Arabidopsis thaliana: one gene and its partners. The protein of the gene in region 2 purifies or fractionates together with the protein of the main gene of each other region. This does not show direct contact. Each region holds a gene or a part of one and is shown on either strand. Other genes may lie near its edges.

What was found.
Region 1: the proteins of NRPD1B (region 2) and NRPE3B purify together in Arabidopsis thaliana (affinity purification with mass spectrometry; 2 studies listed by BioGRID, with this or other methods). This does not show direct contact.
Region 3: the proteins of NRPD1B (region 2) and NRPD2A purify together in Arabidopsis thaliana (affinity purification with mass spectrometry; 2 studies listed by BioGRID, with this or other methods). This does not show direct contact.
Region 4: the proteins of NRPD1B (region 2) and NRPB8A purify together in Arabidopsis thaliana (affinity purification with mass spectrometry; 2 studies listed by BioGRID, with this or other methods). This does not show direct contact.

Annotation. Positions count from the first base shown.
Region 1 is NC_003071.7:6,710,767-6,715,563, reverse strand, and holds NRPE3B (DNA-directed RNA polymerase family protein), read right to left. Parts: upstream 2,670-4,797; 5' UTR 2,543-2,669; coding exon 2,094-2,542; intron 1,905-2,093; coding exon 1,667-1,904; coding exon of another isoform or gene 1,646-1,666; exon of another isoform or gene 1,451-1,645; coding exon 1,178-1,450; 3' UTR 955-1,177; downstream 1-954. Other genes in the region: FUT4 (fucosyltransferase 4), read left to right, coding at 4,520-4,682, 4,775-4,797. UniProt on the Arabidopsis thaliana protein: DNA-dependent RNA polymerase catalyzes the transcription of DNA into RNA using the four ribonucleoside triphosphates as substrates.
Region 2 is NC_003071.7:16,712,644-16,717,977, reverse strand, and holds the start of NRPD1B (nuclear RNA polymerase D1B), read right to left. Parts: upstream 3,519-5,334; 5' UTR 3,254-3,518; intron 2,899-3,253; 5' UTR 2,890-2,898; coding exon 2,809-2,889; intron 2,553-2,808; coding exon 2,426-2,552; intron 2,335-2,425; coding exon 2,219-2,334; intron 2,123-2,218; coding exon 2,075-2,122; intron 1,742-2,074; coding exon 1,577-1,741; intron 1,411-1,576; coding exon 1,252-1,410; intron 1,168-1,251; coding exon 1-1,167. Other genes in the region: AT2G40020 (Nucleolar histone methyltransferase-related protein), read right to left, coding at 5,125-5,334. UniProt on the Arabidopsis thaliana protein: DNA-dependent RNA polymerase catalyzes the transcription of DNA into RNA using the four ribonucleoside triphosphates as substrates.
Region 3 is NC_003074.8:8,568,050-8,576,482, reverse strand, and holds the start of NRPD2A (nuclear RNA polymerase D2A), read left to right. Parts: upstream 1-2,273; 5' UTR 2,274-2,471; intron 2,472-2,633; 5' UTR 2,634-2,663; coding exon 2,664-3,080; intron 3,081-3,800; coding exon 3,801-4,028; intron 4,029-4,479; coding exon 4,480-5,360; intron 5,361-5,739; coding exon 5,740-6,031; intron 6,032-6,162; coding exon 6,163-7,056; intron 7,057-7,153; coding exon 7,154-7,458; intron 7,459-8,010; coding exon 8,011-8,433. Other genes in the region: AAE16 (AMP-dependent synthetase and ligase family protein), read right to left, coding at 1-111, 559-750, 1,063-1,215. UniProt on the Arabidopsis thaliana protein: DNA-dependent RNA polymerase catalyzes the transcription of DNA into RNA using the four ribonucleoside triphosphates as substrates.
Region 4 is NC_003070.9:20,252,655-20,257,523, forward strand, and holds NRPB8A (RNA polymerase Rpb8), read left to right. Parts: upstream 1-2,283; 5' UTR 2,284-2,390; intron 2,391-2,555; coding exon 2,556-2,634; intron 2,635-2,889; coding exon 2,890-3,047; intron 3,048-3,370; coding exon 3,371-3,462; intron 3,463-3,569; coding exon 3,570-3,681; 3' UTR 3,682-4,034; downstream 4,035-4,869. Other genes in the region: AT1G54240 (winged-helix DNA-binding transcription factor family protein), read left to right, coding at 434-480, 593-646, 743-799, 895-988, 1,231-1,314, 1,412-1,733, 1,809-1,840; AT1G54260 (winged-helix DNA-binding transcription factor family protein), read left to right, coding at 4,686-4,702, 4,778-4,862.

The DNA of each region.
Region 1 (4,797 bases), about 10 Mb from region 2:
CCTGTGATTTTCCTGCCAAAAACGTAAACCCGAGATTTTCTCGCCAAAAACGTAAACCCGTAATTTTCCCGCCAAAAACGTAAACCCGTAATTTTCCCGCCAAAAACGTAAACCCGTGATTTTCCCTCCAAAAACGTAAATCCAAGATTTTCCCGCCAAAAACGTAAACCCGTAAAAAGTGGAATCCGTAAATATCATAAGTTTGATGATAATGAATTAATAATAATTATTATTTATTATTGTTTTATAATAATAATGTTGGTCTGGTATGAGAAGTTATGGGAAAGAGTATATTACAGCATTTTTAATTCGTGAATTTCATACCTGGAGCAACTTGACCTATTGACTCATTTACTCTCAGGTGCACTTAAATAATTTACGGCGAGCGCCTTAGCCTATTACTATTACTCAAAAATGTGGTCGAGAAATGTAAGATAAGGATTCCGGAAGCATTGGAAATTAAGTAGGAGGAAGACATAGAGTAGCCATTACAGTTGAGTGTTTAACACGTAAATAAATTAATTTAATTATTACTTAAATGTGTTAACCCATTTAACAACTCAACTCATCAAATTAAATGAGTTATAGTTTGATCCAATCTATTTAACAAAATGAGTTGGGTCAACCTATAACTCATTTAACTTTAAACTCATTTGATTATGAGTTGAGTTGAGTTGGGTTACCCATTTTGACACTCCTAGGTATCAGCATTAAGAAGAAACAAATATTTTTCATCCACTCACATTTTTTTTTTAAGTATACATATATATATCTAACATGTGGATATATATTATTTTTTTAGATAAATTAATAGAAAAATATTAACTTGGTTTTGTTAGAGTATCTCACTAATATAATATTAAACTTTTCAATATTAGTTTAATATTTTGTTTTTACCTTAATTAATATCAATTAAAATCTTTTTTCCTATATTAACTAACCCATTCTTAACAATGACAACAAAAAAAACGCCAATTACGAGAGAGTTCAACGACTAAAAATAACCCAACATAACAAGGTTCAGGAACACAAGGATCAGTCAGAGGTCGGGAACAAAGACAAGACTGCCACTTTACATGTTGCTATCAAACAAGGCAGTGCCGCTACGGTTAATATATTAGTCTGGTCTAGAAGAAACTTAAACCCTGATCAAACAGGTAAAAAAAGAGCTACGATTTCATCCTTCACGCATATGGGCACCGAGTTCACCAAACTGATCATCGGCTTCTACAGTGTTATCTGAGAGACGGATTGCATCAAGCTTCTGCTTCAGGATATCAATGGCATTTAGTACCAGCTGAGAAGCCTTCAATGCACCTGTGGACTCAACAGTGAATACAAAACTATCATGTTTCGGATGGATCTCAATGAGTCCCGGTTTCCCCATTGCTTCAGCTTTCTTGATCACTTCTTCATCGTAAGTGTATGCTTCAGGATCAACCACCACAACCTAAGAAGCAAAGTATTATAATTACAGTTGTGATGATTCAAACAATAGACTGCAAAAGAAATGAGCTAAACGCACTAAACACTTAAAGAAAATTCATACACCACATCACATACATATATTTCAAAGCATGGTAGCCTATAAAGTAGTACAATCATATTGAAGTCTCAAAGCTATAAACTTGTATAGATGTTATTCTTACAGAACATCGAAATTAACCTGTCCGGTGACTGGGTCAATGCCAAACACTTTGGTAGGACTGCTCTCAATCAAGTCAATTTTTTCCTCATCTGTCAAAGTGTTCATCATCTCTTCATTGATAATAATGTCAGGCTCATACATATACGTAACAGTAGCTGCAGGAGACCATTTCGCATGATCTTTCCCAATTCCTTTCCTAGCTAATGCTTTAAGCTTCAACTCTTGTCCCCTGCGTAGTTTCGCAATGATAATTCCCCTGAAACCAAAACAATAACAGTCTAAGAAACTGCAGAAAAAAAAGCCACAGAACTACCAAAAGGAAGACTCATGCAAAGGGCATCTAAAGATGTCAAATTTTGTTTAGCATTGTGTAATATCTAAGCTTAGCAATTCCAATCAATTCATAAAGAACAAATAATCACTACAATGATGAAAAGGGACTTACTTGTGCTCGCTTGAATCAGAAGTAGATGAGTTACTAGTGAAATCAACAGGAGTAACAGTAGGATCAGCACTGTAGAGATCCCTACTAGTAACATCTAGGGTTTGGTCAGTAACACACTTAGCACTAAGGGGAAACTCAACAGAGCAGAACTCGCAATGTTCATCTCCATTACAATCTTCACAATCTTGACAGAACCGCATGCTCATAGCACGCTCGCTAGTGAGAGGGATGAGACTAAGTCGTTGAGCAATGAACTCGTCGTTGAGAACAGAGGAATTAACCTCGATTTTGACGAGATGGATTGCCATGGTGGGGACTTCGGAGATCATTACGCGACGGAGAGCGTTGGCCATTGAAACGTCGGTTTCACGAAGCTCGAACTTGGCGTAGTCATCTTTAAGCTCACGGATCTTCACCGTTGGGAATCTTTGGTAGGTGACACCGTCCATTTCAAAAGCTGTTCCTTCTGACGACTCTGGGACTCTTAGGGTAATGACTTTTCGATTTCTTCGCCGGAGAAGAAGAAGAAATTTGGAGAGAGCAAAGTGAGTGAGAGTGGAAAAAGGTATAAGAAGAACTATAGTAGTTTAAGTTGGGCCTATATGGGCCTATTCTTTTGTTTACTGGGCATTTTCAGGCTTCTCATAACAGTTATTGGGAATGGTCAAAATGTCTACAATGGATTTTCTGTTTACATCAATTCAAATAATGACCCAATGTTATTTTAAGACTTTTTAATCTTTATAATTTGAATTACATAATAATAATTTTGGAAATACAAATATTAAAAAGAATCGAAATTCCATATTTTTAACAGTAACTTGGATTAAAAACATTATATAAAGAGTAAAAAGGATTAAAAATGCATTGGTTCATAAAGAATAATGGTAAATTTGTTGTTTTAATCTTTATATAGTGTTTTTCCAAAATTATTCTTTCTAATTACAATTAAAATTTTTTTACATAATTAATTTTAATGGTAATTATGTGAATGGTTTCGGACAATGTACAAGTTGTACTCATCATTATTCCGCTTATTTTCATAATTATTCCGCTTATTTTCATTGACACAATTAAATCTTGACCTAAATCTAAAAGATTACATATAATATATTTTATCCAACAGAAAATATAAATTATTTTTAAAAATAGAATTTTAGTGGGTTTTGGGGCTTTAAGTGCACTGATCATGTCTGGTCCAAAATTCTAATATTGCTTTCCTTTTTTATTTTTATTTTGCCAAGAAACCAATTCCGGGTTTAACTTCCTTGTAAAACCATCCTTTTCATATATATGATATTTGCAGTTTAGCCAAAAAAAAAAAGTTGAATTTTAATCAACATTTTTAAGCACGACGGTTTCAACTAGTAGTACCATATCGCGGGTTATACCATTACCGGAATTTATTAGAGATTTTCAAAATTTACCTGATTGAAAATTAGCGGATTGTAGTGTTGGAGCCAAACTGGATTAGTGACTGAGTCATCGGGTTTACCGGGCCAACCGCGGTTCCGCTCGAATCTGAATACATTTCCCTCGTCAAAATAAAAAAAGTCAGAGGACGATTGGTCGATGAGAAAAACATTTAATAAAGGAAAAAAAAATGAAAAAACAAATGGGGCCTTTGGAGCGATGTGATGACGTGGCAACCCCCGGAGACTTTCAAATAGCATATTGAGAGTTTTACATGCATGTGAATATCAAGGGTAACATCTAGAGTCATATGAATTGCGCGTGTTATGTCGTTGTTAGTCGTTCATGTTAACAATAATCTACGTATACCGTTTGTGACTTTTAAAACTAAGTTCATGAACCTATTACATATAGATCAAAATCTGGACCATAATTTTATTGGTGTATTGTTAGAAACTTAAAGTTCATATCACTTTCTCTATGTTTCGTGGCCTACTTGCAATTTTTTAGGAATCTTTTGACCATTAGTTTTTTAAACGAGTTTAGGACTTTGATCACTAAGGTAAATCGTTTAAACAATTTGGGATCACTTAATTATTGACATGATTGTATGTTTTGATTGGGCATGTCAAACAGATCTCAATATTTATGTAATTACAAATTATTGCATATTTCAATACATCAATGTCATGGTCTTCACAACGTGCCTGACAAATCCTAGTTGTTTGGATTCCAAATTGTTAATAATTCACAAGAGCTCTCCCATAGGAAGTTTCTTCGATAATTCTGAATATTATATAATACAAAATCACAATTTGGAGTTTAAAGACTTTTCTTCTATTAAACAAAATAGAGTCACGTTTGGAGTTCGTTGATAGTCACAACTTAACAATGACACATTAGAATATTCAAAGTTTTATCTTATTGATCAGTGATTGACATTAAAAGTTGTAATCAAGTTATATAAGCGTTGTAAACTCTTTTTGAATCATCTTCACAAACTAAAAGTCAACATGTATCATATATTTCAGATCTCCGGCGAAGTTATCAAGGGTTTGGGATTGAAGACGAAAATTCTGATAACCATCGTCTTTAGTACCTTACTAATTTTGTCTGTTATGTTACTTTCATTCTCAAACAACTTCAACAATAAACTTTTTGCTGCTACAATCAACGGTAAGAAAGAAAAAAATAAGCATCCATGTTTTGTCATTCATTGTTAGCTCAAAGAATTCTCCTTTTGACCTTTTTTTTTGTTATATGTTCAGACGAATCCGAAACACCGGGGCGG
Region 2 (5,334 bases):
CAAACTTAGACTAAATCCCTCAGCAAACAGACTTTCCATCAATAGAGGCTGCAGCGAATCAAAGAATCCAAGTGTCTCCTTTGGACCCTTCTCCAGGAAGATTGAAGTTACAATTTCATTGATGATGGACCCCATCGCGTCAACCCCGAAATCAAACTTCAGCAAATCACTTCCATCAACCAGGAATCTGTCTCCTTTGCAACTCAGACGTTCTGGAAAGGCAAGCTGTAGAATCTGGAAAACTGTCCAAGCTGGGCCAGATTTACTGGACTTCCTTAGTGCTGGTGGTGGCAGGGACAGAGAGCCATACATAGCTAACTGTTGAGCAGTTGCCTTGTCCAGAAATACCCGCTCCAGCATTACCCTCAAAGACAGTAAAGAATCACTACCCATCTGCAAAATCAGCTGTCCAGTATGTGAGCTAAGCAGTTGCTTCTCCACAGAGAAGAGCTCCATAACCTCTGCCTTAGCACTAAGAGACTGAGGGTAGAACAAATGGACACAATCACCATCAAAATCAGCACTGAGGGGGCTACACATCAGAGGGTTAATCTTCACGGTGTTGTCTTCATGAACATACACCCGAAGCGCTTGAAGAGAATGTTTATGTGTTGTCGGGGGTCTGTTGATAAACACAACATCCCCATCCATGACCCTGCGATGAACAACCTGCCCGGGTTTAAGCTCAGTGTGCCCCTTGGATCCATCCCTTAAAGAATAGGTCGTAGAACCTTGAGTATAACTCAAACACAACTTGTCGTCTACCAACTTTTGTAGATAACCTCTATTGTGGACACTAACCCTTTCCTCAAATGTGATTCTCTGCGCAATTTCTATTGGGATCCCTACCTCATTCACATGTCGGTAAGCATCTCCAGTGATGACGCTACGGGAAGAGAAACCTGAACCCTTACGGATGAAAAGTGTTCTCATTTTTTCTGTCCAAGCTTTTGAAGATGAACTATCCGAGATCTTAGACACCCCGTATCTCATATCAATGTTTCTTGCCGCTTTTGCAGTACCCCTCACCTGGAGATAGGTATCCACCACTCTAAACATCTCACTGGCTTCAGCCTTATGCGACTCAAAGTTTGTCTCGCCAGACCTAGAGCTTTTTATGGCTATGACTTTCTTCAGAACGTCCTTTAGCTCAATTCTGGAAGGATCCTGAAAATAAGAATGACACAAATCCAGGGGTTACAACACAAGCCAAAGCATTCAACTCAACATAGTAATTTAGTTTCAACTTACCACTGACATGGTGCTGAAACCATCAGAAGCCTCTGGCACTGACAAACAGTTAGGCGGGACAGGAAGATACTCTAGTATGTATCCTTCTTGAGGAATATGTCCCTTTGCCGTGAGTTTCTTTCTTGATTCTTCGGGGATCCGTCTTAGAATTTCCTTAACCTATTTGTTTTCCCACCATATGGAAAAGGACACGGAAAGTACATAATCATCAGTTTCCAGAAAGAAAAGATCTTAAAGATAGAGAATGATTCCAAATGAACAAAAAGAACGTCACCATAAAATCCTACATAAACAGAAACATAAACACACAGAAGAAAGTAAAAACCTCTCTTGCCAGCAGGGGACGCGTGTAATCGCTTCCATAGCGATAACCATATCTTTCCAGGAAATTCCAGCAACCAGGCTGCAGTCTTGACCTAGATGGGAGCTTCAGTTCTAGATATGAGGCACCATCTGATGCTCTATCTTTGATTGAGATTTGCGAAGCTTCCTAATAAAGTAATATAGTAGTTAAAAATCCAAGACGTTCAGCAATAATAACATCCAAAATAACATAAAGCAGTGAATGTTTCATGATGCCACGAAAATACCAATAGCTACTGCTTCACAAGCATTGATTAATGTTACTTTCACTGAATGGATCAAAAGAAGCACAAATACTATTTAGATTTGAATTAGCAAGTTTTCTAACATGCAACTAGTTGAAGGAAAACTTAGAAAAACTAACTAAATGCTGAACCAGGTTCACATAAGAAACATCTATCAACTTGCTTTCAGGTAAAACTTAAAAGGAAACAATCAGAATGTATATGCCATTACTCACCTCACAACAGACACCCAACAAGCGATCCGCCAGACCACCACTTGTGCCCTGTACTCAGAAAGGTGAAAAAGATTAGTCGAGATTTTATATGGTTTATTTATGTGTGGATCACATGGAATTTAAGAAAACTCAATGAGGTAATACCTTTGCCTTCTTTATCTTCAGACATTTCAAGCACAGAAGGCTCAGCATTTGTTTCAACTCATTAACATGAGCAGGATGGTATATTGGCACTGGAAGCTGAATATAACCAAAATGACCTGAAAATGTAGAAACAAATACCGATATCTGAAGAAGTATTCCAACAAATGATGTAAGAACAAAAATATAGCAACTACGGAACTGGATTACCTTCACATTTATCTGGTTCTGTCGCACCGCAAGATTCACATTTACCAAATTCAAGAGGTAACCCCAAGAATGCGTTAGTGAGTTGACTGGGATGATTAATTGCGGATTCACTAATCGATTGAATACACTGCAAGAAAGAATTACAGTCCAGTGAGAAATGGAATAGTGACAGAGGATATATCGCAGAACAACATTTATATGCAAAAGTGTAGCACTTAGCATCACACAGAGCTTGAGTACAATTATAGTGAATTTAGTGCCAAAGATAACCAAAACATAGAGGTTTTAGCTATTCGAAATCCTTCAGTTATGTAAAACCCATGATAAACATTGATGCAGAACAAGATGGATCAATTCCAGAGAGTATAACTCTTATAACTTACTATTTCATGGTGACTAGCAAGAGCAAATGTGATTCCAACAATCTCTCCGTCAAGAATCTCTGATGTAGATTCTTCCTCCATGAAAAAACCCTAACGAGCGAAAATCACACACCAGCGAGACCGAGTTAGCTCTTATCAGATGTAAACAAACAGAGAAACAAAGACATTTGAGCTCACTAACTTGATACAAAGAAAAATCAAGTCTTTGAAGAACAAGTTCTCAAATCTGTAAAAGATACAATTTTTATACTCGTTTACACAAAATCGAAGCTGTAGTAACACACAGTGAACCAAAAAATCCGAACTTTCAAACCTAGAGTAACCTACATTTGAAACCCATTTCGGAGAAACCCCCCCCCCCCCAAAAAAAAACACGGCGGAGTCATGATCGAGCTCTTTTCCCGGAAAAACATCTAAAGATAAGAGTTGGGTAAGACGAAAATACCTAAGAATTCGATGATTCAGCTGCGTATTTGACCCGTTTTGGTTCCTCAACCGGAGAAGAAACGAAACAGCGGGAAACAAGGGTTTTTGCAGGTGAGAAGAGGGAAGAAATCTGAGTGAGAGTGAAAATGGCGGACTTTTTCTTAAAAGAGGAAACCGAGAAAGAAGATTGCGAGAGAACAATTTTGGAGTGACTCTACTTTTCTCTCTCAAAAATCTTTTGTTCTTCTTCACTCTTCAGCTTCCGTCTTTAAAACCCACATTGCATGCAAAGGGAGAAATATTTTCAGTTTCGTTATTAATTAACTAAAATAAAAAGGTATCAATTTTAATTTTTCTTTATTTGTCAAACAATTGATAACACTTGGGAATATGCAATGATGATGAAAATGATTAAAACAAATATTTATCCACATATTATGCAAGACCATGTCAACAACCATTGACAAACTTTTTTTTTTTTTGAGAAGAATAAAGGATTTCAAAACCATAGAATTAGCAGTGAAGCAAAACATATAAATACTTCAAGTAAACTATTTTTTGGATTCGATTTTGGTGTTGTATATTTGATCGATCGCCATAGATGACCGTTTCCGTTTGTAGTACGCTATGTTTGATGCGATAAAAATCTAGCGGGAACGATGTTTTATAAAATAATGGTTATACCAAAAAAACGGTAAGAACTAAGTGGATCGACTTGTAAAAAAAAATTTGAGATATTTTTTGTATTCATGAATTTGTAAATAGTTCATACCAAAAAAATGAATATGTAAACAGTTGACCAATCAATTAAAGACAAAAAAACAGCTCTTTTGTCTTCAAAAATTATATATAAAATGTTAAAGTATTTTTTCATTTTATTTTGTTATATATTTGATCGATCACCATAAATGAACTTTTCAATTATATATTGATGCGATATGAATATGAAAGGAACAATGTTTTCAAGAGATAAACTTCGTTTTTATCCGAAAGAACGGTAACCAATGCTCATATCAATTTATAATGAAAACATGGAGAAGGTTAACAATAACTCTTTTTCTTCATTTATATAATTTTGTTTACACATAAATGAAGAACATGAGTATAAATTTAGGAAAATATTTTGTAAATAAAAAGTAAAGGGTAACTCCAAAATGAAGTGACAGATGATATCATACCATATTCATCACTCCCTTTTAGAGTTGAGAATATAGTGGTATTAAAAGGATTTTTTCTAAATTAGTATTTAGAGTGAAATTTGGAATATAATTGGAGATGCACTTATTGGCTCATGGATTTAAAAAGGGAACAAAATTGCATCAATTTCTTTCTATTCAGGAGGAATTAAGTGGAAAAAAATTTCATTCCATTTATTGTAAAAGTTAGCAAAAGTTGTAACCAAACGAAATACAATATGCTTCCTCTCTCAAACTTTTCCGCTGATGTGTAAAATACAAGTCAAGCTATACTTGCATTTAAGTTTATATGTACAAAAAAAAGTTTATATGTACAAATCAAAAATCAAAAGAATATGAAGTACCGGTTGATATTGGTTCTTGCATTTAGAAGGTATAATTGCAATTAAACCGACTTTCAGATTTGGTCTAACTTTTAGACTGGCTATTCAATTTACTTTAGAGGGATTTGGTTTCCACTTTCGACATTGATCTTTGGATAAGTGGGTTCGGGTACTATTGTATGACTCATACAACTACTGATAAAGACTATCTGCTTTCTCTACTCCATCACAAATTATTAAAAACCAATATCTCAAGAGATGTTAAGATGGGTCGTTTTACCTTTTTTCACCACAATACTATAGCTTACTACTACTATTTGGCTTCCTAACATATATATCAATTTGCTACTTACAGGAGCTCCATAGCTCCTTTACTTGTCCCACCTCATCTCTTTCTTCCTCCTCTTCTGTCCACGTACTTCCCTGAGAAGCTCTTGAAGTTCTTCACAAAGAGGTTCTGGAGTAAGCTGAATGATCTCATCATCATCACCATCACTATCCTCCTCTGGCTCCGTCTCCTTCTCCTTTGGATCCTCTGGCTCGGTCTCCTTCTCCTCTGGATCCGTTTCCTCCTCAGGATC
Region 3 (8,433 bases), on a different chromosome or scaffold from region 2:
ATCCGCAACAAGCCATCGACAGGAGTTATCAGCAAAAAGTGCAATCTTCTCGTCTGCTTTCACTCCAACGACTCGTAAACCCTCAACAAAGTCCAAGATTTCTTGTTCCAACTGCAAAATAAGATGATTGAAATGAAAGGTTCCATTACTCATCCAAATTTAGCATCACTGTAAACTTCAAAAGTAATTACCCACCTATCTAGCAACAGGAAGTATTTCAGGCAGATAACTGAAACAACATTGGTTCCTAACATATAGATTAACACAGCAAATACCAAGGGACATGCCTGACAATAATCATAAGGAAATATCAATTTAGTATGCTTCCTAACATTCGAATATGGTTCATCTTCAGCACCCTCTAGCTACCTTCTTATTGACAAGCAGTTAAGATATGTAGATACAAAACTAATCGATAAAGAAAAAAAGCTGATGGCCAATCAATCTTAACTCTTAAACTTCAGTTTTTTCCCTAAGTTCTGTCATTTGCTTTAAAAACCTCTATTTCAAAAGTGTGGGGATCTAAAATAATAGCAATGAGATGCGAAGTAGTGTTACCTGTCTGTACGTGAATGTAGAAGGCGGGTCATGATACGGATCTACCACCGCAACTCTGTCACCGTACTTCTCCACAGATGATCTCCAAATATCAGGAACAGACTTCCATTCATTAGAGCTCAAAGCAGCCTCCCTTGGCAATGATAAGCGTTCTAAGAATGGCGAACACCGCCTTAACTCCTTCTCCTGAATCTATAAGAACGGTACACAATTGATGTTACATATAATTCAGGAAATGAACCATAAGGTAAACTTACAAGAACCCTATAAAAGCCTTTCAGGATCAAGCTGTTTAAACCCTGGTCATCAGAAGCAATTCAGCTTTCATAAGACAAGTATCCTAAACTAATAAGACTCAGAAGTCAGAGCCACTCGTTGTCTATTTTGGTGCAACAGCTAAACTTGAACCTTCCCCAAAGTCAATTCATTTCTTTAGATTACTTACTTCAAAAATCAAAGTGAAAGGAGCAATTTTTTAAGTCCACAAACCAAAAAGGAACTCGCCTTGGATTCGCAGCGAACTCGAAATCCCCTGCGTGAAGTTCTGCAGCCAAAAGCCTTGTAACCAAACACCAATCTCATCCCAGAAACTTGAAATTCAGGAGCTGAGGAGCAGTGAGAAACGAGAATCGAAGCTCCGAGAGACGTTGAAGCCATGGCTGAGGAGATAAGAGGTTATCGTGATGAAGTTGCTTGCATAGAGAGAATATATGAGAGGAGAAAGAGAGAAAGATGAAGAAGCAAAGAAAGGTAGAAAGAAAGAGACGAGAAAGTAGGTCGATGTCATGATTACGATTTTTCACAGGAAAGATCAGTTCCAAGTTGGTTGGCACCGCTACAGAAGCATGGCTTCTTCAGACTCTCAGAGATAATAAAACAAAAAACAGAGCTCAATACTTACACTTATATAATAACTTTTTATTTACTTATATATTATATTTCTATAATTAGATCAGATTTAACCTAATAAATCAAACTACCCATAATTATGATGTCCCAAATTTGGTAACTATTTGATGATTATTTCTAAACTGTAGGAGCAACCCCAACTTTGTATCTTAGCTAATTTTTAGGTATAAAAGTGATTAAATTTAATGAAACCAATAAACTTTAGCTAAGATAAACATCTTTATTAAGCCTCTCCGTCACTCACCAAAAAAAAAAACATCTTTATTTTATTTTTTTTGGTTAAACAAAAACATCTTTATTAAGATATTTTCTTAAAACTAAGAAAAGCATATGTGTTGTGTTTTGAGTGGGTAGACATTGTGTTGAAATAGTTTGTTGTTTCTTAAAATTCTAATCGTTCTTAACCATTGAAGTAGAAATTGGTTAAACTTCTTCCTAACTTTTCTTAACTTAGTAAAAACAACATTTTAATTTAAAATAAGCTTAAGATCCAAAATTAAAAATTAATTGATTTTAAACCATTGGGATTGCTCTGAGCTTTTTTAGTGAATTATGTGTTGTTTTTTTTCTTTGTGTTTTGGTCAAAATTAAGTTATATATGAAATTTATTAAACCAAACAACCAAATCGAATTAGATGTAAAAACCAAAATGTAGATGTTACAAATTTTGGAAAAAAAAAAAGATGTTACAAATTTTATGTCATGTGAACTTCTAAATATATTTCCTTTTCACTTTAAAATAAAAATAAAATAAAACTTAAACATAAAAATATAGATACCAAAGAGCAAAATTTAATAATATTGTCTACTAGTACTAGTGACGTCAATTTCTTCACTTCTCTTTGACTGCTTCGCTTAACCACTGAAAAAGTGTGCCAAGGGTTTTCTACGTCGAATCTCTCCGCATTCTCAGCGATTTTCCGGCGACGTTTACTCTGCACTCCTCCGACACCGCCGTTTTACTCCATCGTGCCAGCTTTAAGCAATCAAGGTACCTATTTTAGGTAATACGCTTTGATTCTGCTTTTAAGCATCGGAGAATATGTTATGGAGAATGATTCGGTTCTAAGGGAAAGTTGTTGATTTCGTGTTTGTATTCGCATGATTGCATTTTCGTGGTTCATGATTTTCACAGCTTTTTAATCAATTTCTCTGTCTTTGTTTAGGGTTTTTGTTCGTACAGTGTGTTTTGAGGTATGCCAGATATGGACATTGATGTGAAGGATCTTGAAGAGTTCGAGGCTACTACTGGGGAGATCAATCTATCTGAGCTAGGAGAAGGTTTTCTGCAGAGTTTCTGCAAAAAAGCTGCAACTTCTTTCTTTGATAAGTATGGACTTATAAGTCATCAGCTCAACTCCTACAACTACTTCATTGAACACGGGCTTCAGAATGTGTTTCAATCCTTTGGTGAGATGCTTGTGGAACCGTCTTTTGATGTTGTAAAGAAGAAGGATAATGATTGGAGATACGCAACGGTGAAGTTCGGAGAAGTCACTGTGGAGAAGCCTACTTTCTTTTCGGATGACAAGGAGCTTGAGTTTCTCCCATGGCATGCTAGGCTTCAGAACATGACATACTCTGCAAGGATCAAAGTCAATGTCCAAGTTGAGGTAACAGAAATTCTTTGTCGAAATTAAGTAACCTTGTCTGGATTTGATGAATGATAAAGAACACATGGTATAAGCTTATTTCTTGATGTTTCTACTAGACTCTTTCTGACACATATATGAAGATGTTGACATACACTGAGGTTCCTGTCATAGATTTCTCAATTTAACTTGCCATCAAATAATTTACTAAGGGTTAAGGAACATATTTGTCTGAAACTGGTTTCACTCTTTTTGGCTTTACAAGTTTTCTGTAATTGGATTTGGTTCCTTATTTGCATTCGCTGGATTTCTTACCTGAGCAAAATATCTAGTAAAAGAGATTTATTACAGTTACATGTTCGTGTGAAGTAGAGGTGTATTTCAAGCTTGGTTGTGTTTAAGATTGATGATTTTGTCTGCTCCCAATCTTTAGATGTTTCTTGTTTAAAATTTGAATTGTGATTACTTTTCCTTGTAGTGGTGGGTATTCAAACGAAATAAGCTTTAGTTTGTTTCATTTTAAAGTTTGGATGCAATAAAAGAAAAACATCTTCAGCTTTTTTTTTTATTTAGTTCTTCCCCACTGCCTCACTGTGCTTTAGTTTGAGTGTTTTATGCTTGTGTGCAATGACTCTTGTACTGTCAAACTTTTGATGATGTTTCTGTTTTGCTGTCCATGTATCTTATTCTTATAAATGTAGTTTATTGTCTAACTGCTTCTTCACTCTATAAATTGACTAGGTGTTCAAGAATACTGTTGTTAAAAGCGACAAATTCAAGACAGGACAAGACAACTATGTCGAGAAGAAGATACTGGATGTCAAAAAGCAGGACATTCTAATTGGTAGCATTCCTGTCATGGTGAAATCTATCCTTTGCAAAACAAGCGAGAAAGGGAAAGAAAACTGCAAAAAGGGGGATTGTGCCTTTGATCAGGGTGGATATTTCGTGATAAAGGGGGCTGAGAAGGTGAGTTTAACTAATACATACATATATGCATATTGCCATTCAATACGTACAATAACTTTATTTTCTATGCCAAAACGGATTTTGTTTGTCAGCAATCCATAAAACGGATTATAGTTACAATTTTCTATCATCAGATAATAGTGTTTATCAGCAAAAAGATGTTACAAATTAGACAATAACCTATTTGGTTCATTTTATTTTCCTAATGGAGATGAAGTAAGAAATTAAGAAACTTAACTTATTTATGACTTTGTATACTTCGTTAGCATCAAAGATATAAACTTTTTCTTTCCTTTCTGGCTTGACCATGAGGCCATGAGTATTCAAATCTTACAGGAAGCGTTCTTTGCAATCTTAGGCTCTGGGACAGATGATTTGACTCTAATATATTCTGGAAAAAATATTTTCAAGTTGTTATACTTCTCCCTAACGTTATTATATTGTTTTGCAGGTGTTTATAGCTCAAGAACAGATGTGCACAAAGAGACTGTGGATTTCTAATTCACCATGGACAGTCTCCTTCAGGTCCGAAAATAAAAGAAATAGATTCATTGTGCGCCTCTCGGAGAATGAGAAAGCAGAAGACTATAAGAGAAGGGAGAAAGTACTGACAGTGTACTTCTTGTCGACTGAGATTCCAGTCTGGCTCCTCTTCTTTGCGCTAGGTGTTTCGTCAGACAAAGAAGCCATGGATCTAATTGCTTTTGATGGTGATGATGCAAGCATTACCAACAGTCTCATAGCTTCTATCCATGTAGCTGATGCAGTTTGTGAAGCTTTTCGCTGTGGGAACAATGCTTTAACATATGTTGAACAGCAGATCAAAAGCACCAAATTCCCTCCTGCTGAAAGTGTGGATGAGTGCCTCCATCTGTATTTGTTTCCAGGCCTCCAAAGTTTGAAGAAGAAAGCTCGATTCCTGGGCTATATGGTGAAGTGCCTTCTGAACTCGTATGCGGGAAAAAGAAAATGCGAAAACAGGGACAGTTTCCGGAATAAGCGAATTGAGCTCGCTGGAGAACTATTGGAGAGGGAGATAAGGGTGCATCTGGCACATGCTAGAAGAAAGATGACCAGGGCCATGCAGAAACACCTCTCAGGCGATGGTGATTTGAAGCCTATTGAGCATTATTTGGATGCTTCTGTTATCACAAATGGGCTTAGTAGAGCCTTCTCTACTGGAGCATGGTCTCATCCTTTCAGGAAGATGGAAAGGGTTTCAGGTGTTGTGGCTAATTTGGGTCGTGCAAATCCATTGCAGACTCTGATTGATCTGAGGAGAACGCGACAGCAAGTCTTATATACCGGCAAGGTTGGAGATGCTAGATATCCGTAAGTGAATTCCACCTCCTCTGGTATATTTAAATATATCTCACGTATTTTAACTTACTGGTCTGGTCTGCATTTACTCCATTTTACATGTCTTCAGACTGTTTTAAAGATATTCGTAATAACTTTAATTCAATGTAGTATATGATGCCGATCACTGTTTCTGCAGTCTCTTGTCTGTGTATAATACTTATTTTGTATAGATGTTACTGCTATTAAAAAACTCTGATACTGTCTTTCTTGTTTCTTTCTCCCTTGGTCAATCTATCTGTTGAACTCTTGAGATTATCCATTTTGGTTCCTTTTCAATGTGAGCGGTTAGACAATTAAATCGTGTTGGGAAACTGAACTATAGCTGCATTGTTTGTAATGTTGGCCACAGGCACCCCTCTCACTGGGGCAGAGTATGCTTTTTGTCAACTCCAGACGGTGAAAATTGTGGTCTTGTGAAGAACATGTCTCTTCTGGGACTTGTGAGCACCCAAAGTTTGGAGTCTGTGGTGGAAAAGCTCTTCGCTTGTGGAATGGAAGAGCTGATGGATGATACATGCACACCATTGTTTGGCAAACATAAAGTTCTTCTCAATGGAGACTGGGTTGGATTATGTGCAGATTCTGAATCCTTTGTCGCGGAGTTAAAAAGCAGGCGGCGCCAAAGTGAATTACCTCGTGAGGTATCTTCTGTTTCAGCAAATCTCTTGCTATATTTTGATATTCTTGTGTTACTTGGTATTTGCTTTGGATTTTTCTGCTTCAGATGTGTCTATGTCGAATATTGTTTATATATATGAAACGTTCTCTGCAGATGGAAATCAAGCGAGATAAAGATGACAATGAGGTAAGAATTTTCACTGATGCTGGTAGACTACTCCGACCTCTCTTGGTTGTGGAAAATCTCCAAAAGTTGAAGCAAGAAAAACCTTCACAGTATCCTTTTGACCATCTTCTTGACCATGGGATTCTCGAGCTGATCGGGATTGAGGAAGAAGAAGACTGTAATACAGCATGGGGAATCAAACAGCTTCTGAAGGAACCAAAGATATACACACATTGCGAATTGGACCTGTCATTCTTGTTGGGTGTGAGCTGTGCAGTTGTCCCATTTGCAAATCACGACCATGGGAGAAGAGTTCTCTACCAGTCCCAGAAGCACTGCCAACAAGCCATTGGATTCTCATCAACGAACCCTAACATCCGCTGCGATACGCTGTCCCAGCAGCTGTTCTATCCTCAGAAGCCACTGTTCAAGACATTGGCGTCGGAGTGTCTTAAAAAAGAAGTGCTGTTCAATGGCCAGAACGCAATTGTTGCTGTGAATGTTCATCTCGGGTACAACCAAGAGGATTCCATTGTGATGAACAAGGCTTCATTGGAACGTGGTATGTTCCGTTCAGAGCAGATTAGAAGCTACAAAGCAGAGGTTGATGCTAAAGACTCAGAGAAGAGGAAGAAGATGGATGAGCTTGTTCAGTTTGGAAAGACACACAGCAAAATCGGCAAAGTAGACAGCCTTGAAGATGACGGGTTTCCTTTCATTGGTGCTAACATGAGTACTGGCGATATTGTCATTGGCAGATGCACCGAGTCTGGGGCTGATCACAGTATAAAGCTCAAGCACACTGAGAGAGGAATTGTGCAAAAAGTGGTATTATCATCTAATGATGAAGGGAAGAATTTTGCTGCGGTTTCTCTGAGACAGGTAAGTTCCAGATCATACTAAATCGAGCTGTTTTTTCAGAGAATGCATTCCTATGTATGAATCGAATGTTCCATTGATTGGCTTTTACATCTTACAGGTTCGTTCTCCATGCCTTGGAGATAAGTTTTCCAGTATGCATGGCCAGAAGGGTGTTTTAGGCTACCTAGAGGAACAGCAGAATTTTCCTTTCACGATCCAAGGCATAGTTCCTGATATTGTGATAAACCCGCACGCTTTCCCTTCTAGGCAAACACCAGGTCAACTCTTGGAGGCTGCTCTCTCCAAAGGAATCGCTTGTCCTATACAAAAGGAGGGTAGCTCTGCTGCATACACCAAATTGACACGTCATGCCACTCCTTTCTCCACTCCGGGTGTCACTGAAATCACCGAGCAGCTTCACAGGTACATTCTTCACATTGTCTCTTGGTTTTAGCTCGTAAAACAGAATATAAAATTATATGCTATAACAGATTTACATTTGCTTCCTATACAAATAGATGATATCATTAAGGGCAGGAACATATTATTGATAATATTTCCTCGTTGAAGATGTTTAAACTTGGAGACTTTGGCTACAGAATTTCCAAAAGTTGATTGAGCTAATATACTGCACAAGGCACTAAGCTAGATTTGAGCACCTTACTTGAAACATGTCATAGTGGATCTTTATTTTGTTTTCTAGGAGTACTAGAAGTGAGCATGAGTTATCTGTCTCTGTAAGACTAAAAAACTAAGAAGTTCAATGTTCTATGGTTGATTAATTTCTTGTATTGTGCCTGAAAAACGTCTAGAGAATACAGAAAAATAGGCTCAAGAGTCATGTACCAGTATATAATTAGTTAGAGGATTGATGCTGTGAGCCTTGTGATCTATGTATAATTCATTTAACCTTTCTTAGATTATTGTTGATTCTTGAGTCCTGATTCATTACCAATGGTAAATATTTGTGATTAGGGCCGGCTTTTCAAGATGGGGAAACGAAAGGGTCTACAACGGTAGATCAGGTGAGATGATGCGTTCTATGATATTCATGGGCCCAACTTTCTACCAGCGACTTGTCCACATGTCAGAGGACAAAGTCAAGTTCAGGAACACTGGACCAGTCCACCCGCTCACACGCCAGCCAGTTGCAGACAGGAAGAGATTTGGCGGGATAAAATTTGGAGAAATGGAGCGAGACTGCCTAATAGCTCACGGTGCATCAGCTAATCTGCATGAGCGTCTCTTCACTCTAAGTGACTCTTCTCAGATGCACATCTGCAGAAAATGTAAGACCTATGCGAATGTGATCGAGAGGACTCCAAGCAGTGGAAGAAAGATTAGAGGGCCATATTGTAGAGTCTGCGTATCCTCAGACCATGTGGTTAGGGTCTATGT
Region 4 (4,869 bases), on a different chromosome or scaffold from region 2:
TAACGGCCCAATTAGATTGCTATATATTCACGATTGTGCAGTTGGAAATATTAAAACCAAAAAAAAAAAATAGAAAGGCGGGAAAGAGAGTTAGTTACATCGTCTTCTCCGGCGAGACAAGACGACTGCGATTGGATTTCTCTGAAGCGCAGGTATATAAGTGATAGATCACCATTGATACTCTTCAAGAAGATCCCATTCAATTCAAGCTTTATCGAGTAAGATCTTTATTTTATTCCATGGAAACCGATTTGAGATTTACACGAATGATCCAAATACGTCTCATATCATGCGATTTCAAGACGAAAATGGCGTAGTTTTATTCAATCGAAGGCAATTTTGAAGATATCAAAAAGATCGATGCTTCAATTGCTTGATCTCTAACGTGTCAGTTTCTTTCTTTTTGTTCAGCGACGATCCTTCTTCAGTGGCCATGGTTTCTGGAGATACAAAATCGGATGCGAACAACGTTACTTATGGGTTCGTGAACTTTTGTATTTCCCAAAGCCAATTTTGTGGAAATGAGAGAGATCGATCGATGCTTAAAGCTCTGCTTCAACTAATAATGTCAATTTCTTTCTCTTTTTTTCAGAGACCTTCCTTCTTCTCCAGCGGCTACGGATTCTTCAGAACCTTCTTCCTATGCGTTAGTGAATTTTATTGTATTCTTTAGAACCAATCTTTTAGAATTGATCTTTGCTTTTCTGGTTATGTTTTGATTGATTTGTTATCTCATTTTCAGTGAACAGCTTGAAAGGCTCATGATGATAGATTCAGAAGAAGACCGGGGTCCCTCTGGGTTTGTGACCTTCTCGATTCTTTAACCACCAATCTTTGTTTTCTCTGGTCTATCTATGTTTTGATATTACTCTTTTTTTGTTGGTTTTGTTTCAGGTTTACGACTGATGAATTGATCTTTCAGGCTTTAGAAACAGTCTACGAGAATCATAATGGTCTTGATGTCGATGCGATTTTCACTTTTATCAAGGTTAGGAGGATCTCTCTGTCTCTATAAGTATCTGTGTTTCATGGTCATATCTCATGAGTAGTGTATATTGGTTCTGAAATGTGAGTCAATAGCGGGATTACACAATGGAACATTAGGATCTGAAAATTTGACTTCATGTTCCATCCCCTAAAAGTCTTCCTTTTAAAGTCTTGGTTTTGTTGATTCCTCCGTTGTTCTTGATCAACTAACCATCATGTTCTTGTGGTTAATATAAATTGCAGGAAAGGAACGAGTTACAGGAAGATTTTAGGGAGCGGTTGGAAAACCAGCTGAGATATCTAGTTTCTGAAGGCCAAGTATACAAGGTAACTAGTTTTTCAGAGTTGCCTCACACTAATGTTAAGATTCAGTAGTTTTGTTTGATCAGTTCAGAAAAACGGAAAAAAAAACTTGTAAATGCAGGTAGGAAACCTCTACAAGATCCCCCGTGGTGTATTTGATACTCCAGTTGTGTCAGTAGGAGATTCAAATCAAAGAGAAACCATGGATCCAGAAGATTCCACGGGCACAAAGGCACAAGACACACCAAGTACTTGTGCTTCTTTCGCACCACCAACAACAGAAGTAGATCCTCGGATAATCGCATTAGCAAAAGAAGTCGCAGAGGCAGAACACTTGGAGTTGGAAGCAAAAGAGGCATACGAACTTGCAGATAAACACGCCCAGTTGCTAAAATTAGAAAGCAACATAACCTTGCAGTTAGCCGTAGAAATCCTTAATCGATGTAAGTAATGTCCACCTCTTAACCTTTTATCATCATCATCATCACTGACTTTTTCATTTGATTTGGTCCTTGCAGGTGCTAACGGTGAAAAGATTTTCCTGCTGTAAAAGCTTTGACCTTCTGGTCCGGTTCAAGGTGGATATATTCGATCACCGGTTTCTTTTTAGTGTTTTTGGTTTTGAGTAAAAAAAAGAGTGTAGATATGAAATGTGATTTCATTTGACTAACTAGTCATAGTTTGTTACTTTGTGGTTAAATGATTTTGGTTGTGAAGGCAACAGACTATTCTGTTAGTTTTTGTTAATACAAGTTTTTACAGATAATGCCAATCTTAAGAATTGAATAGGTTTTTCTAATACATAACATAAGAAAGAAAAAAAGAAAGTGTGTCATGGTGTCTTTAGCAAGTATTTTTAACGGTCGAGATTAATTTCAAATACTGATCAAGAAAGAAAAAAATTAGTTATGAGAATTACAATTTTATAATGGGCCTCATTGTAAGCCCATTATAAGCTTACATAGGACTTTTATGAGTTTTTGTTCTCAGTCTGTCCCTTTAATTGTTTTTTGGCTCTTCTATCGCCCATCGCTTGGGAGATTAAAGTCTGAACTTTTTGATCTCAAGCTTCTCCATCTCTCCCTCAACTCAAGCTCCTGGTTCGGAACTATTTACTTTCCTATGCGATTGGTTGTTTATAAGTTGATTTCAGAGTTCGGATTCTTGTACTCATTAGATGTCCATATAGGTCTTGTTTACTGGTTTAATTGGGGTTTTATCAAGGAAATAAAGAGTGTTTAGGGTTTGAATTTCCGTGTTTGCAGATGGCGAGCAATATCATCTTGTTCGAGGATATCTTCGTGGTCGATCAGTTAGACCCTGATGGCAAAAAGTTCGATAAAGGTATACACTTTATTAGCCTCACTCACGATTTCTAGTACTTCTCATGGCTTACATCGACGTTTGTTCATAGCTGTTTAGTTCATGTATGTATTGTGAATGAGTTCTTCCGTTTATCCTTTTTTGGTCTGAGTGTGTGGGTTTTGTGGAAAAATTTAACTTTTTAAGTTTTTAGTCTCCCCCAAGTTTTGTTCTGTCTTCAGATTGAGTGGCTTTCTCTTAAACCTACAATGATTTTTGTTGTGTTTGTGGTTACAGTTACTCGCGTTCAAGCTACGAGCCACAACTTGGAAATGTTTATGCATTTAGATGTTAATACAGAGGTTTATCCATTGGCTGTTGGTGATAAGTTCACACTTGCGTTGGCTCCTACGCTGAATCTCGATGGAACCCCTGATACCGGTTATTTTACTCCGGTAATAAACTCTACTGCTTTTTATTTAGTTGTTTTGTTTTGAGTATATACACAGTCTCTTGTTTGCTTGGCCAAATTTCCATGAATGGTAACTTTGAACCCGTATCTGGATTTTGTTAGGATATAACTGTTAATGCTGCTAAATGGTTGATATTATAACTCTGTTGGCTGATTCGAGAAGCCTGTCTATCTAGGAATAAGAGGAGACATGGAATTTTAACAAGCTTTAGTTCTTGAATCTTCAAGATCTAAATTTGAAAACCAAGAATGTGTATGCATATCTAAACATTAATCTTATCTAGTTTTCATCTCGATACATTACAGGGAGCAAAGAAAACACTTGCCGATAAGTATGAATACATAATGCACGGGAAGCTTTACAAGATCTCTGAGCGTGACGGCAAAACTCCAAAAGCGTAAGAATCCCATATAACCCCCCCATATCAAAATAATTCAATCCAATTCAACTCACATATCAAACCATCATGTTTTATTTTATTTTCTTTAAATTATGTGTTTCCAGAGAGCTATATGTTTCGTTTGGCGGCCTCCTGATGTTGCTTAAGGGAGATCCAGCTCACATTTCTCACTTCGAACTCGACCAGAGGCTCTTCCTACTCATGAGGAAGCTGTGAGGTGCCATTTTTTCGGATAAAAACTGAATTAATAGAGAGCTTGATCTAATGTTTAACTTTTACTACTTCAACTCTTGCAATTTTCATGAAGCAACTCTTGTGCAAAAGCAAGTTTTTCCGTTCCGTTTTAAATCCCATTCCACAAATTGACTGCTCCGGTCCGGTGAAATGTACTATTTGTAGCTCTAAGCTATTGATGAAGATAAGCAATTGAGACCAAGAACATAACAAAAAACACAGACAAAGACACAGTTTTTTTTTTGGTCAAGGACACAGTTTTGTTTCTTCTCTAACCAATTTTCACTACACTCTTATCTTCTAACAACAATATGAAGCAATAAAGCTCGAAAAATAGATTCTGAGCCAAAAATAGAGTGTTTTCTCTAATCCATGCTTGTGTTTTCTCTAGTCCATGTTTGTGTTCTTGCTTCTTTGAGACTGGGAGAATATATCTTGGACGGTCGAGATTAGTCTTAAAAATTCTGAACAGATCAAGATTTAATTTTAAATCTGTATAGTGGGCCATGTTTAGGCCCAATAAAAGCTTTTGATGAGGCCTTCTAAATGGTATATATTTCGACTTGAAGAGAAAGAAAAAACAACTAGAAAATCGGAAGAATAAATGGACGGTGGAAGAAGGAAGCCCTTCTCGCCGGACTAGCCAAGCACGGTTCCGGAAAATGGACAAGTATTTTAGACGATCCAGAGTTCGCGGCTCAACTTCTAGATCGCACAAACATTAACCTCAAGGTAATCGAAAATTCCCAAAATCCCATTCGTCTTCCATGGAAATCGATTTTTGAGATTTATTATGTGGAATTAGGTCGAAATTTGGGTATTAATGTTGTATTGTTTATTCTTATTGCCCAAATTTCAAGGATAAATGGCGTAATATAAAGAAATCAAGGACACAATCACTCGAATCTACCTCCATTTTCACTTCACCTTCAGAGACTTCTCGTTCTGTTGTTAGCTATGAGGCTTCTCCTAGTAGTTCATCTGATATGAGCAATGATGCTAGGTTTGTTATATTTAGAGATTTTTTAGAATTGGTATGTTCTAAGTTCTAACAGGTTCTTCTTTACCTTGTTGCAAGGTATGATGCGATGGTTTTTGAGGCTGTATCAACAATTAATGATGAAAATGGTTCCAATCTCAAAGAGATTCTCAGATTTATCGAGGTGAAGA